2 linked regions of the Stegostoma tigrinum genome follow. The main gene of each other region encodes a partner of the protein of the gene in region 2 in a complex. Links are inferred from orthologs where the notes say so. Each region holds a gene or a part of one and is shown on either strand. Other genes may lie near its edges.

Evidence for each region. The genes of interacting proteins can lie anywhere in the genome.
Region 1: the proteins of metal transporter CNNM2-like (region 2) and ADP-ribosylation factor-like protein 15 are in contact, whole or in part, in a crystal structure (PDB 8F6D), measured with the Homo sapiens proteins. The link is inferred for Stegostoma tigrinum from reciprocal best matches to the Homo sapiens genes CNNM2 and ARL15. Residues at the interface, in NP_060119.3 of Homo sapiens: Asn490, Val492, Pro521, Leu522, His523, Phe524, Val525, Phe526, Thr529, Glu537, Lys542, Ser543, Gln549; in NP_061960.1 of Homo sapiens: Tyr92, Ser94, Arg95, Gln98, Gln128, His129, Pro130, Gln131, Cys133.

What each region holds. Positions count from the first base shown.
Region 1 is NC_081354.1:126,662,036-126,669,758, forward strand, and holds the start of ADP-ribosylation factor-like protein 15, read left to right. Parts: upstream 1-4,693; 5' UTR 4,694-4,768; coding exon 4,769-4,822; exon of another isoform or gene 4,823-4,904; intron 4,905-7,258; exon of another isoform or gene 7,259-7,301; coding exon of another isoform or gene 7,302-7,334; intron 7,335-7,723.
Region 2 is NC_081373.1:8,219,580-8,227,610, reverse strand, and holds the start of metal transporter CNNM2-like, read right to left. Parts: upstream 3,075-8,031; 5' UTR 2,502-3,074; coding exon 1,085-2,501; intron 1-1,084.

The DNA.
Region 1 (7,723 bases), on a different chromosome or scaffold from region 2:
CATTAGCCGAGATATTGCTAGATTTTAAAAAATCCATTGACTTATGCCACAGTGATGGGGTCCAGAAACATAAAAATAAATTGTTGGAAAAGCCCAGCATATCTGTGGAGAGAAATTGGAGTTAACTTTTTGGGTTCATTGTCACTTCCTCAGTACAGTATCCAGTAAGCCTGGATTCAAATCCCATCTGCTTCAGAGATATCTGATAGCATGTATGAACAGGATGATTAAAATGATCTAAAATGCTTTGGAAGCATGTCTCGCTTTTCAACAACGGATCCTATTTTAAAAGTACTTTGTATATGAGAAAATTGTTTCCCCGTCCTTGTCAATCGTAAAGATGCTACAGAATTGTACAATGGAAAAAAAGTTCTTCACTGACAATATTGAGTTTATCTTTGGAAAGGAAAGCGAGCAAACGTTATACTTTTGACAGCAAAAGACATTAACAGCTCCTATAGAGGTAGTAAGAACTGCAACTGCTGGAGTCAGAGGTAACAGTGTGGACCTGGAGAAACACAACAGGCCAGGTCGCATCAGAGGAGCAGGAAAGTTGATGTTTTGGGTTAGGACCCTTCTTCAGAGTCCGCCTATTTTGTTTTGACGATAAGTTACTAATGTTGGGCTTTAGCTATACTTTCAAGAAAATATGCCATTAATATTCCTATACGTCATAACTGACAGCAGAGGCTTTCTATGCTCTAATGGCATTCCTTTTTCTTTCCCTTATTTTCCTACAGTCGCAATGTTTGGTGGCATTTCAAAGGTAATCATTACATGAATTAACTGAACTGGGTAATAATTATTATTAGCACAGTGGGACCCTACATTTTTGGATAAAATTCCGGTTGTTTTGTGCATTCCATTTCAGAATTTGTTCTGAAGACTTGGTTTCAATGCCAGAAATTAGCATTAAAGAGGGTTCGGTTTGCATACTTTTATATTGTGGACATTGGTGTGGACCTGAGTGCTAAGTTATATACCACAGAAAAGAAAACTGGGGATTTTATGATTCAGACCCTTCAGTCCACCCGTCCATGCCGAACTGATATCCTAAACAAATCTAGTCCCATTTGCCAGCATTTGGCCCGTATCCCTCTAAACCCTTCCTGTTCATCTACTTCTCCCCCTTCCCCTCTCTGATGGGCCTAGGCCCGAAACGCCAGCTTTTTTGCTCCTGAGATGCTGCTTGGCCTGCTGTGTTCATCCAGTTTCACACTTCATTACCCTGTTCATCTACCTATCCTGATGCCTTTTAAATGTTGTAATTGTACCAGCTTCCACCACTTCCTCTAGTGGTTCATTCCTATGAGACTACTCTGTCCACCTGCAGCTCCACTTTCAAGGCACTATGAACCTGCATTCCATTGCTTTGTTGTTTGGCAACACATCCCCCAGAATCTTACCATTAAATGTAATGTTAATTGAATTGGCTGAAGACTGGCATCTATAAGTGATCATGTTCCTCTTTTTGGTTAATTAGCCACCACCTTTTATGACTGTATGTGGCCATATTCTACATTTGCACAAGCAAAAACAGAAATTGCTGAAATGACTCAATAAGTTTGGCAGCATGTGTGGTGAGAAAGCAGAGTTAAAATTTCAGTCCAGTGAGTCGTCTTGAAAACTGAAGCTGGGAAAGGTTTGGTAAATGTGCTAAAGATGGAGTTGGAGGGAGGATGGAGGAGAAAATGATAGGTGGAGATGGAGCAGAGAGCAAGAGAGAAACAGTTGGGCAGACAAAGGAATGAATAAAGGTCAGCCTAGGGAATGAATATCTGCAAGTGGGGATTATTAGTGGCTAACAATGGGTTATTTATGATAGAAGCCTATGTGATAAGGCTTTGATTGAGTGCAGAGCTGAACAGCTCCACTTCTCCTCCATATGCGGGATCAACATAGTGAAGCTTCTGTTGTGCTTTTTGTTGTTCACATAAATGATTTAAATGTGAAAATAGTAGGTATGGTTTGTATGTTTGTTCATGACACCAAAGTTCATGGTGTAGTGGAAGCAAAGAGGGCTTCCTCAGAGTCCAACAGGATCTTGATCAGATAGACCAATGGATTGAGAATGGCAGATGGAGTTTAATTTAGGTAAATGCTAGGTGCTGGATTTTGGAGAGACAAATCAGGTCTGGACTTAATCACTTAATGATAAGGTCCTGGGGAATGTTGCTGAACAAAGAGGCCTTGGAGTACATAGTCATAGTTCCTTAAGTGGAGTCACAGGTTGACAGGATAGTGAAAAATACATTTGGTATGCTTTCCTTTTTTGTTCAGTATATTGAGTATAGGAGTCGGGATATAGGTATATGTTGCAGCTATACAGGATATTGGTTGGCCCCTTTTTGGAATACTGCATGTAATTCTGGTCTCCCTGCCAAAGGAAGGTTGTTGTAAAACTTGAAAGGGTTCAGAAATGGTTTACAAGGATGTTGCCAGGGTTGGAGTGTTAGAGCCATTGGGACAGGTTGAATAAGCTGGGGCTATTTTCCCTAGAGTGTCGAAGGCTAAGGGGTGACCTTTATAGAGGTTTATGAATCATGAGGGGCAAAGATAGGCTCAAGAGCCAAGGTCTTTTCCTAGGGTAGAAGGCATAGGTTTAAGCTAAGAGGGGAAAATTTTAAAAGGGACATAAGGGGCAACTTTTTAATGAAGGGGATGGTTTGTGTTTGGAAAGAGCTGTCAGAGGAAGTGATGGAGGCTAGTACGATTACAACAATTAACAGGCATCTGGATGGGTACACAGAGATAATAGGAACTGCAGATGCTGGAGAATCCAAGATAACAAGGTGTGGAGCTGGATGAACTCAGCAGGCCAAGCAGCATCTTAAGAACAGGAAAGCTGATGATTTGAGCCTAGACCCTTCATCAGAAATGGGGCAGGGGTTCTGAAATAAATGGGGAGAGAGGGGGGAGGTGGATCGAAGATGGATAGAGGAGAAGTTAGGTGGAGAGGAGACAGACAGGTCAAAGAGGCAGGGATGGAACCAGTAAAGGTGAGTGTAGGTAGGGAGGTAGGGAAGAGAGAGGCCCGTCCAGGGAGGACGGACAGGTCAAGGGGGCGGGATGAAGTTAGTAGGTAGGAAATGGGGGTGTGGCTTGAGGGTGGGAGGAGGGGATAAGTGAGAATAAGAACAGGTTAGGGAGGCGGGGCTGGTTTTGGGATGCGGTGGGGGGAGGGGAGATTTTGAAGCTTGTGAAGTCCACATTGATACCATTGGGCTGCAGGGTTCCTAAGCGGAATGTGAGATGCTGTTCCTGCAACCTTCGGGTGGCATCGTTGTGGCACTGCAGGAGGCCCAGGATGGACATGTCATCTCAGGAATGGGAAGGGGAGTTGAAATGGTTCGCGACTGGGAGGTGCAGCTGGTTATTGCGACCCGAGCGGAGGTGTTCTGCAACGTGGTCCCCAAGCCTCCGCTGGTTTCCCCAATGTAGAGGAAGCCACACCGGGTGCAGTGGATGCAGTATACCACATTGGCAGATGTGCAGGTGAACATCTGCTTGATGTGGTCAGTCTTTTTGGGGCCAGGAGTTGTGGAAGCAAGTGTAGCACTTCCTGCGGTTGCATGGAAAAGTTCAGGATGTGGTGGGGCTGGAGGGGAGTGTGGAGCAGACAAAGGAGTCACGGAGAGAGTGGTCCCTCTGGAAAGCAGACAAGGATGGGGAGGGAAAAATATCTTTGGTGAGGTCGGATTGCAGATGATGCAAATGTCGGAGGATGATGCGTTGGATCCGGAGTTTGGTGGGGTGGTATGTGAGGACGAGGGGGATTCTCTTTTGGTGGTTATTGCGGGGACGGGGTGTGAGGGCTGAGTTGCTGGAAATGCGGGAAACACGGTCGACGGTGTTCTCAACCACTGCGGTTGGGGGGGAAGTTGCGGCGTTTGAAAAACGAGGACATCAGAGATATACGGGAGTGGAATGCCTCATCCTTCGACTCCGCCGCAGCTGCACCCAGGAATTGGGAATAAGGGATGGCATTTTTGCAGGAAGGTGTTTGGAAGGTGGTGTATTGGTATGAATGTTGATATGAAGAATTTAGAGAGATATGGACCAAATGTTGGGAAATGAAGATTAAGGTATCTGGCCTGCATGGATGAGATGGACTGGAGCATCTGTATCTGTGCTGTGCATCTCTATGACTCTGACCACCTCTGTTTTCAGTGCATCTTTCCTTTAGATAAGGGATCCAAAACAGTTCATGGTTACATAATGGCAGTCAGCGTACTGTAATTGAACTATAATATAACTGATTATAGGACTGCCCAAAGAACACAAAGCCCAAGAGCTAAGAGCAGACTAGGCAAAAAGCCCCTTGAAACTGTTCCACTATTCAATAGGATCTTGGCTGATGTTACCTTGTCCTCCACTCCGCTTTCCTATTCATTTTCTATTTACGCTCTGCTTGAAAATCCGTCTACCTCCTTCTCAAATTTACTTAGTGTTCCACTATCCACTGCAATCTGGGATAGTAAATGGAGAAGCATGGAGTGAGGTGAAGGCGCAATGAATTCTGACGGGGTAGAAAACCATCAATGACAGTAGAGATGGAAATTCAGCCAGATTACATTTGTAGGAATGGGGAATGGGCAGGGTTGGGATCGTGCAGAGGAAAGGGGCGGGGTCATGTGGAATGGTACGGGGGGGCGTGGCTGCGGTGATGGGCGGGGCTAGTGGTGCCCGTTCGTCGCGAGGCCCCGCCCTCCGGTCTGGTGGCCGCAGCCGCCGGTTTTTCCGAGAGGCGGTACCTGTATCCCGGGATATGGGCCAGTGTTTGGAGTTGTCGGCCGCTGTGTGTCGAATCGGCATTTATTCGGTAGGATCTCCGGGTTGGGACCGGCCGTATTTGAGCTTGGGCCGGGCAGACAAGCTCAGATTAAGTGCCGTGCGTCCCCAGGGTAGGCCTTGGACCCGAGCCCACCGCCCGCGAGTCAGCAGCTTATTGAACCTGCTTTCAACTCTGCACCTCCTCAGGTGTCTCCACTGGCAGTATCCTCATTTCAGTCCCCCTCCCCCTTCCCAAACCCGTCTCCAGCCCCTCTCGCCTCTTCCCGCCTCCCACTTGGTCTCCGGTTTCCATCCCCTCTGCCCCCCCCACTTCTGTTTGCATCTTCCCTACCACTCTCTGCTTTTTCTTTCCCTGTCTCTGTTCGCCCTCACCCCTCCGTCCACAGAGTTATACTTTTTGCTCCTCACCTACGTCTTCTCTCTCCATGCGCCTCATCTCTTGTTTTATCTTACTGTATCCTCATGAGCCATAGCTGGTACCCTATTTAAATAGCTTGTCACTCTGTACATTAATACTCATTAGTTTTCAACTGGCAGTATCCTCATTCTCACCCCCTTCCCAAACCCGTCTCCAGCCCCTCTTTTTTTTTATCCCCCCACCCACATTCGTGTTCACTTTAATGCTCTTAATTCGATTCTTGTTTTCAATCGTTTTTTTTCCTGAAGCTTCAGATGTTGAATTGTATGCTAACGTTTATTGTATGTTTATCAGCTATGGTGTTTTAAAATGTCGTTCAAATAATTAGATTAACAGTATTTAAGTTTAAAATGATACCCACTTGTACATAACCTTTCCATAATGGCATTGTTGGAAATTGAAGTGTTTACAATATAACCAGTTTAAATTTCTTTGATTCTTTTCAAAATTTGTACTTTACGGCATTCTTATTTCTGAAGGTCATTATGTACGTTCTGGTGATGAAATGAGGGTCATAACTGGTAATGCGAGTGAGGCTTTTTTGGGTGGAAATTCAGGATATTTTCATATCTTTAGCTACAAGACAATGCACGCTGGACAATTGGAGCTTTTAATGTTTGAAAGCTGAGGCTGTAGTAGGCTATTGAAAGGTTGACAAATGAAGCTGAGATGTAGATGAGGCATTACTCATCTGAATTGTGGAGCAAGCTGTACTTACAATACTTCCATACTAGTTGATTGCAGCATTGTGTTTTTAAAAGGTACTTTGTTTTCTGACTGACCCAGCAGATCACTACAGGTTGTTTAGTGAGAGAGCCTTAAATTTTTGAGACCACTGGACTAGAATCAGTAAAGGCTCTGATGCATAACCTTTTTAAAACTTTATTGCATTCTTATCTTATTTCACCAGTTTTTTTTTTGTTAGTTTTTTGCTTCAGGAATCAAGAGAGTAAGTGAAAGGAGAAATAGGTGGAGAGACTGATGACCAATATAAAAGTGAATCCGAAAGTCGTCTTTAGGCATGTGACTAGTGAAAGGGGGAGTAGGATTGATTTAAGTATCAAGGGAAGAAGATTCATGCAAGGAAACAGGGTGTAATAGAGGTACTGAATATGTACTTGTATTTGTCTCTTTGAAGGAACATGCTGCTCAAGATGCTGAAAGGTGAGGTAGTTGCGATGGTGCCAAAACATTAGGGAGACAATGGCATCATGGTTATGTTGCTGAATGGGTAAAGCAAGGTTCAGGCACTACAGACATGGGTTCTAGTCACACTATGGCCACTAATAGAGATTAAATTTAGTGATTTTTTTTTAAAATAAAAAAAGTCTGAAATTCAAGTTTGGAAATGGAAACCATGTCAGTGTAGTTGATCAATCAGCAGTATTAAACAATGTTGTTTAGAGAAGGAAATCTGCTATCCTCACCTGGTTTGGGCCTCCGTGTGACACTTGTTCGATGGCAAAAAAGTTTGACTTCTGTATCTTATCAGAGGACACTTAATGATGGGCATCAAGAATTGTCAGGGAAAGCCACCTCCTGTGAAAGAATGCTTTAAGAAAAGTGACACGGAGGAGGGATGACAAAGATGGGCTGTATTTTAAGGTTGGTAAGTCACCAGAACTGGGTGAGATGCATCTTGAAAAAAGTTACAAAGGCATTGATAGTAATCTTTTAATCCTCCTCAGGTACTGGAATTGTGCCTGCAGACTGGTAATCGACAATACTGCTCTCTTATTCAGAAAAGTTGTCAAGAAGAGCTTAATAACTGTAGACTAGTCAGTTTAACCCCTCAATGTTGGGAAAGCTTCTAGAAATGAAAATCTAGGACATAGTTATTAGTCACTTGGACAGATGATTTATTTGAGGAAAGGCAACATAGATTTAAGTACAACTTATGTTTAAGAAATTTGAACAAGGTTTTTGTTGAAGTAGCAGTGGATTGACGAGGTCAAAGTTGTAGATGTTGTGTATTTAGACTTCCTAAAGATGTTGCAGAAGGAACCCATTGTTCTATATTCGACTAATTTACCTGATCTCTATTAGTGATCCAGACTACTGGGTGCAGACCAGAATTTCAGACTTTGCAATGAAACTGTTGAGAACAGTGTGCAACTTGAAGGTAAATTTATTTACTTTTATTTTCTTGTTAAGAAGGCAAAACCATAGTTAATAATTTTAAGTTACATTTGTGAACTGATGCTTCGGTACTTCGATGCTTCAGAAGTCTGGAGGACAGTTTTGTACACGTGTGTTTCATGATGGAGATGATGACAAGGGCTCGATGCTTTTAAAACAAAAGGGGCAAAGAAACCTGGGCTGTTGCTGATTAACAAGAATCTTCAGTTACCTGTAATAATAATGCATTTTGTAAGTTAATATTCCCTTTCCTTTTGTTCTGGAGATCTACTCTGGGTTTCAACAACTTGACTTCCAAAGTTTCTTTTTGAGTGTCAGATAAAAAATCATTTCAGTCAATAAGATTTGTACTCGTGTGTCTGTGTGAGCAAG
Region 2 (8,031 bases):
TGGTCATGTCATCACACAGCAGCCTAACATATCAAAAATTCCCATTATCAGAGATATGGCAAAAATAAGCCCCAAGCAATGGTAAATAAAAATTCTAGAAATCACAATTTAGAAATTTCAGTCACTATACTGCTGCCTGAAAGCACTATGTATTCTGACACTGTGTGCTTTAAATTCCATTTTCATGCGTACGAGGCAAGTCACATGGACTTTTCCACATAGCATATAGATTACAGTCAGTAAGAAAATCAATCCTGCCAGACACATCCATCATCTATAAGTATTTTTTGGTACAGAACACCAAATTTAAGACCAAACAACTATTTTCTTAAAAACATTTGCTAAACTAATTTTTAGTAGGTTTAACAAAATGTTGTACCAAGAACACAACTAGATGTTGAATAAAAAACTGACACCATTGTCTCACCACATTATATTTATATTTACATGTATTGGAATGCAAAGTCTTTAAAATGTTGGCAAACCAATGGCATGGCAACAGCCAGAAAGAATCTCAAGTAGAGTCCTTACAATCTTGTACACAATCAGACAAGCACTGGGTTATCAAATTTTACGTAGCTACACATCTTAAAGTCTCATGAATAGCAGACAAGTTTATTAAATATTATGAACAGTGTTGAGTACACATTATATTTAACAGTAAGACTTATTTATGGTTTACAAAAATATCATAACTTAAGATTCAGCTCTTGCCCCCACACCCTGTCCCGCCAACGAAGAGAAACTGAATGGTTTACACTGTCGAAACTTAACTGTAGTTCAAGATGTTGGAAGTCGGGGAGAATAGAAAAGATGTTAGAGGTAGGCTACCTAATGAATCTTATGCCAGCGGTTGGCTGTACGTTGGGAGAAAGTGAGAGTGTCAACGAAACATTTACAGGTGAACATAAATATATATAGGTGGTAACCGCTTTTACACTAACTGTTTTAAGATGTGTAGAACGTGTTTTCGGTTAGAGTTGCGCTGCTATAGGTTGACAACACAAACTCATGCAAAAAGAACTGAGGTACGTAGCCTGACCACCAAGGGTGAAAAACAGAAACATAATCAACATTCTCCCACCTTTTTTAAACTCCTCCAGCATCGCATCCAGCTTCGTGTCGTTGAAAACAAAATGCAAGGGGTGGTTGTAAAATTTGGTGATGGTTTTCAGAGGGGTGCAGTCGTCGGGGTCCACAAATGCCAAGTCCTTCACGAAAAGTAGGTCAACGATGTTTGACCGCTCGCCTTCGTACACGGGGATCCTGGTGTATCCGCTCTCCATGACCTCGGACATGGTGTTGAAATCCAGGATCGCGTCGCCGGTGATCATGAAGCAATCTCGCAACGGGGTCATCACGTCCTCCACCGTTTTAGTCCGGAGCTCCAGGGCGCCCTGGATGATGTTGAGCTCCTCCTTGACCAGGTCGTTGTAAGGGTCGGTGACCCGCAGCATCTCCAGCAGCTTCTCGCGGTTGTAGACGGTGCCGATCTCTTGGCCCAGGATGACATCCAGCAGGCGGCTGACCGGGTAAGAGGCCGGGAAGGTGAGCAGCATGAAGAACTTGGTCAGCACGATGGTGTTGGCGCCGACCGCCAGGCCGTGGCGGGAGCAGATGGCCTGCGGGACGATCTCGCCGAAGATGACGATGCCGATGGTGGAGACAGCCACGGCCACCACCCCGGAGCCGGCGATGTCGTCCAGCAGGATGGTCAGCGTGGTGTTGACCAGCACGTTGCCAAGCAGCAGCGAGCAGAGCAGGTAGTTACCCTGGCGGCGGACCGGCTCGATGCGCTTGGCGTAGTTCTTCTCCTTCTCGGTGCCGCAGTTCTGCACGATCCGCAGCTCCATGGGGTCCAGCGCCATCAGCCCCAGGTTCAAGCCGCTGAACATGCCCGACAGGCAGAGCAGCACCGAAATGAAGATGACCTGCAGCCAGAAGGGCAACAGGAACTTCCTCTCCTCCACCACCACCACCATGGTGTCCTCGGTGTCGTGGTACAGCCAGTCGGCTTGCCCCGAGCCCGGTTCCGGAGCCCGGGCCGCCGTGCACAGGTAGTAGGCTTTGCTCTTCTCCGTCTTGCGAAGCGGCTTCACGTCCATCTCGATGACGCCGGTGCTGCGGCGGCTCACCGCGACGCCCGGCAGCACCACGATGTCCGAGGTGCGCACCCCGCACGGGTCGAAGCCGGCCGCGTCGTCGGCCGTCCGCCGGTGCTCCGTGAAGCCGATGCGGCTCCAGGTGCTGTTGTCGATTCGCTGGCCGTACAGCCGCAGCCGGACCCGCGTCCGCTCGCTGACCCGCAGCACGCCGCCCCCCATGCCCGTCACCTCGTCCGTGTCCTCCAGCCTCAGGCCGATGATGACCGTGTCGCCCTCGTCGGAGGCGGCCGCCCGCCCGCTCAGGCTCGACAAGAGCAGGAGGACGAGGCAGCAGCAGCAAACGCTGAAGGCGGGCAGGGTGAAGAAGCCGAGCCGGCCGCTGCTGCAGGCCGCCATGTTTGTAATGGAAATGGAGGCTGTTCCCTCCCTCCCTTATCCCCTCAGGGGAAAAAAATATAATTATTTTATAAAAGCAGCAAAAGGGAGGGGAAACCGAACAGTTATATTAAGTGTCTTTTATTCCCCTTCCTGCACATTCTGTTCCATTTTGAGCGGACATAATAGAGTTTTTATGATTATTTTTATCGAAAACCAGTCACAACGTTCTCCTATTCCTCCTCAGCTCCCGCTCGCTCCCTTCAAGCTTTCAAACTGCGAGCGAACGCCGGCGCGAGCCCCAGCCAACGGTCCACGCCCCCCCACCCACCTTCCTCTCCCCCATTGGATGCATCTCCCTGCTTGACACGCTGGCCTCTCCATTCAGAGGCCGCAGAGGTGGTGGATGGGCGTGACAGGTGGTGTGAACCTCGACCAATCCACACCGTTGGGGGCGGGGCACAAGACGACAGGCTGTCCCCTGTGGTCAGAGATAATGGGAACTGCAGATGCTGGAGATTCCAAGATAATAAAATGTGAGGCTGGATGAACACAGCAGGCCCAGCAGCATCTCAGGAGCACAAAAGCTGATGTTTCGGGCCTAGACCCTTCATCAGAAAAGGGGGATGGGGACAGGGTTCTGAAATAAATAGGGAGAGAGGCATGGGTGGGGACATAGGGAGGGGATAGTCCCCTGTGAGCGGCGCGGGCCCACGTGGGAGGGCAGGTCCGATTTGGGGGAGCGGCCCGCCCATGCTACATTCCGAGTGGCCCTCAGATGGCACGTGATGTTACCGGGTGTCCAATCTGAGAGGCTGGAGCGTGCGGAGATCGCCAATGGAGAGTGTCGGGACGCGCAGGCGTCATGCTCTAGTTTTGTATCAAAAGTCAACTTGTAGTTGTCACAGGGTGTCAATTGCGCACGTGTGTGTACCTGTCAAGACAAGTCAGAGCAAATCTCAGGCTTTCACTTTCTGAAGGAGGGTCATTGAACTTGAAACATTCACTCTGTTTTCTCTCTCTCCGTAGATGACTCCTGACCTGCTGTGTTCCTGCAACAATTTCTGCGTTTGTTTCAGCACTCCGAAGTCCGCGATTCTTTGTTTTATCTGAGGCTTTCACATGAAGATGCTAATGGAATGAGTCAAACTACTAAATCTGATCGAATTTTAAAATAACGATTGTACAGCTCTTCACATTCACGTCTTAACGTTTTTACGTTCATTCTTTTTAAAACTGTAGTTTGTTTTTAATGATGTTGCAACCTCCTTCCTGTTAAAGTTCCTTTTCAAATTATATTTTTAATGAAGTTTGTAAACTGCACTTTAACTTTTTAAAAATGATGTGGAGGAGCCTGTGTTGGACTGGGGTGGACAAAGTCAGAAGTCATACAACGCCAGGCTATAGTCCAACAGGTTTATCTGAAATCACAAGCTTTCAGAGCACCCCTTCGTCAGGTGCAGTGGGAGAAAGAGCAAACGGACACAGAGTTTATAGGCAGAGAGATCAAGGGCAGAGAATTCAAAAGATCATAGAACTTTTGTGAGTGCAGTGTCAGAAAATAAGTCTCTGCAGGTGACCAAGAGTGTTAGACAGTGAGTCAAGCGTCAACAGTGAAATAACCAGCAAAAGGCTGACCTATAATTAAGTGAGGCAGAGAGATAATTACAAAAAATTAAAAATAAGGTGGTGCTGGAATAACATAAGTGATATAAGACTCACATGCCCAGGGTCTAACCAAAGTAATAAGTAATTCAAAATTGTACAATCTAATTAATGTAGAGAGATCATTTAAAAAATTATCAAGGTGATGCTGTCAAACAGGACAGTAAGGAAGATTTTACAGGTTCAGAACAGTATGGTCAGGTCACATGTAGTGTGACATGAACCCAAGATTACAGTTGAGAATGTCTTCATCTGTATGGAACTTGTCTATCAGTTTCTGCTTAGCAATTCTGCGTGGTTGTATACATCAAAGTCTGCTTTGGAGGACAGTTACCCAAAGATCGGAGGCTGAATGTCCTTGACCGAAGTGTTCCCCCACTGGGAGTTAACACCCCTGTCTGGCGATTGTTGCATGGTGTCCATTCGTCCATTGTCATAGCATTTGCATGGTCTCACCAATGTACCGTGCCTCTGGGCATCCTTGTCTGCAACATATGAGATAGACAACATTGGCTGAGTCACATGAGTATGTGCCATGTACATGGTGGGCGGTATTCCAATGTGTGATGGTAGTGTCCCTATCAATGATCTGACATGTCTTGCAGAGAGTGCCATGGCAGGGTTGTGCAATGTTCTGGTCAATGTTGTCCTGAAGGCTAGGTAGTTTGCTGCAAACAATGGCCTGTTTAAGGCTTGGCGGTTGTTTGAAGGCATGGGGATGATCTTGATGAGATGATCATCATTATTAATGACATGTTCCAGGGAATTACTGGATGACAAAGGATACCTCATTGGTCGTATCCTGTATTTGTCTGCTGAGGAGGTCATTGCGGCTTTTCACTGTAGCATGTCGGAACTGGCGATCAATGAGTTGAGCAGCATATTCTGTTCTTATGAGGGTGTCCTTCAAAACCTTTAGATGTCCATCGCATTCCTCCTCATCTGAGCAGATCCTGTGCATGTGCAGGGCTTGTCTGTCGGGAATGGCTTCTTTAATATATTTAGGGTGAAAGCTAGAGAAGTGCAGCACTGTAAGGTTATCCATAGGAACGTGGTAGAGTGAGGTACCGAGGTGTCCATCCTTGATGGAGATGCATGTGTCCAAGAATGTGACTGATTCTGAAGAGTAGGCCATGGCAAGTCTAATGGTGTGGTGAAACTTGTTGACATCACTATGCAGTGGTTATGTTGTTTCAGTGATTCCTCACCATGTGTCCAAAGGAGGAAAATATCGTCAACGTATTTGGTGTATAGCTTTGGTCGGAGGTCCTGCACAGCAATGAAGCCTTGCTCAGACTTGTGCACAAAATGCTGGCATATTGGGGTGCAAATCTGGGCGCCATGGCTGCTCCATGTGTCTGGATGAAGAACTGGTTGCCAAAGGTGAAGACATTGTGGTCAACGTTGAAGCAAATGAGTTGAAAGTTGGCATCTGGAAATTGGCAGTCAGCGGTGTTGAGGCTGTTGCAATGTTGCCATCATTGTGAGGGATGCTGGTGTAGAGTTCCGAAATGTCCATTGTGACGAGGATTGTTCCTGGTTCAACTAGCCTGTGGCTGCTGTGTTTCTATAAGAAATCTGTAGTGTCGTGACAGAAGCTGGGGTTCCTTGTACAATGGGATTCAGGATGCCCTCAACATAGCCAGAGAGGTTCTCTCACAAGGTCCCATTGCCTCATACAATGGGATGTTCAAGTGTGTTGGCTTTGTGTATCTTCAGAAGGCTGTAGAAGTCTCCTGTGCAAGAAATGCACAGGATGCTCTGAAGGTCAGGATCAAAAGTCTTGATCAGTCTGTTGACTTGTCAGGTGTGTTCTTTGGTTGGATCAGCATGTAGTTGTAGTGTTCTTACACACCACTCACCCCAGTAATCTAATCTTTTGATCTGTCAGCCTATAAACTCTGTGCCTGTGTGCTCTCCTCCCTCCCTGCACCTGACGAAGGGACTGTGCTCCAAAACCTTGTGATTTCAATTAAACCTGTTAGACTGTAACCTGGTGGCATGTGACTTCTAAATGGTCATTTGTTTTTCAACAAATCTTTTAAACTTCTTCAGTTCACATTCTTTTCAAATTGGTGTTTGCTTTTCATGAATATCAGCACCATTGCATTTATATTTTTTATTTGTTTTTTAATGAATATTATAAACCTCACATTCACATTTTTATTAACTTGTCATTTTTTATTTAAACTTATTTACATACACATTTTTTCAAAACTCATTTGTATGTCAAGAAACTCAAATTGAATTTGAGTGTTGACTTCTGTTTTAAATAAATTGTATAGATTAATAATATGTAATTCAGAAAATATATTTTTCAGCAAAATCATCTCTGATAAGAATTTCATACATCTTTTTATATCTGACCTAGAATTCCACACCTAACACCTCATCCTAAGAGTTGTCCAGACAGAAGACCCAGATTTCTTTCCTGGGAAAATTAGAAAGGGATAATGAAAATAAACCTTTTCAGCAGCCCCACAAATATACATTTTAAAAAGGAGATTATAAGCATTGTATAGGACAATGACAGAGCATTCTGATCAGATACAAAACCGAGGAAACTGCAGTGAGCAAATCGCAATGCCTAGCAACATATTAAAAGGTATAGATCAAATGATAAATTACTGTTATGCAAAGCTGTATCCACCTGCTGTAATAAAAACAAAATTCCACAGGTAGGCTTATGGGTCCAGCTGGTCTTCTAGCCTCTACAATGCCAGTTCAATCCATACTTCTTCACTTGTTGTAATACTGAACTGCATTTTGTTAGCGCTGCAAAGAAAACCATAGAATGTACTTGCTAAATTTAGTATGTTTTTGTTAAAAAAATATATTTCTAGGTTTTATAGGCTTAACACACATACATTATAATTAGAAAACCATTTGTCATACATCTAAAGTGATATGACTGGCCCTAAATCCATTCAGATTTAATAATCTTATGAATATTAATCATGGCATGTATGTCTCCCATGAGTTAACCGCAAGTTACATTCTTCCAGAATGGTGGACATGAAAACCAAAGGAATGATTCTCCAAAGGATTAATATCTGGTGAGCACAATGTGCAGTCAGCAGGTTAAAGTTGCATGGCATCAGAGAATCCATGAAGCAAAGGACTTGCATTTATGTGGTTCCATTTGTGACCACAGTATTTGACAGCCAATCAAATATTTTTGAATTGTGGTCACTTCTGTAATGTAGAAATGCACTAATCAAATTGTGCACAAGAAGCTCTCACAACAGTATTCTGTAATGTGTTCTTGTCTGAGGCATGTTGGCACAATAGATGATCTGTAGAAGAGTTGAACATTATTTAAATGGAGAAAGACTGCAGAAGGAAACAAGGATTTGGGAGTCTTCATGCACAAGCCACAAAAAGCTAGCACAGTGATACAATGGGTGATAGGGAAGGAAAATTTAATGCTAGCCTTTCTTTCAAAAGGAATGGAGTTTAAAAGTATATCTTGCTAAAACTACAAAGCACGAGTCAGTTTTGGGACCCTTACCTCAGGAAAGGTATACTGGCATTGGAGGCTGTCCAGAGAAGATTCAGTTGGCTGATCCCAGATGGGGAGGGATTTATGAGGAGAGCTTCAGTACTGTACTCATTGGAGTTTAGAAGAATGGGATTGAAACAGATTCATATTGAAACGTATAAGATTCTTATGGGATTTGACAGGCTACATGTTTCCCCTTGTGGAAGAGCCTTGGCCCAGAGGGCATAATCTCAGAATACGGGGTCACCCTTTTAAGACAGAGACCAGGAGGAATTTCTTCCCTTAGAGGACAGTGAATCTGAAGAACCCTTTACCTCAGAGGGCTGCAGAAGCGGTGGAAGGTTATTTGGGGTAGGCAGGAATGTGGATTTGAGGTTAAAATCA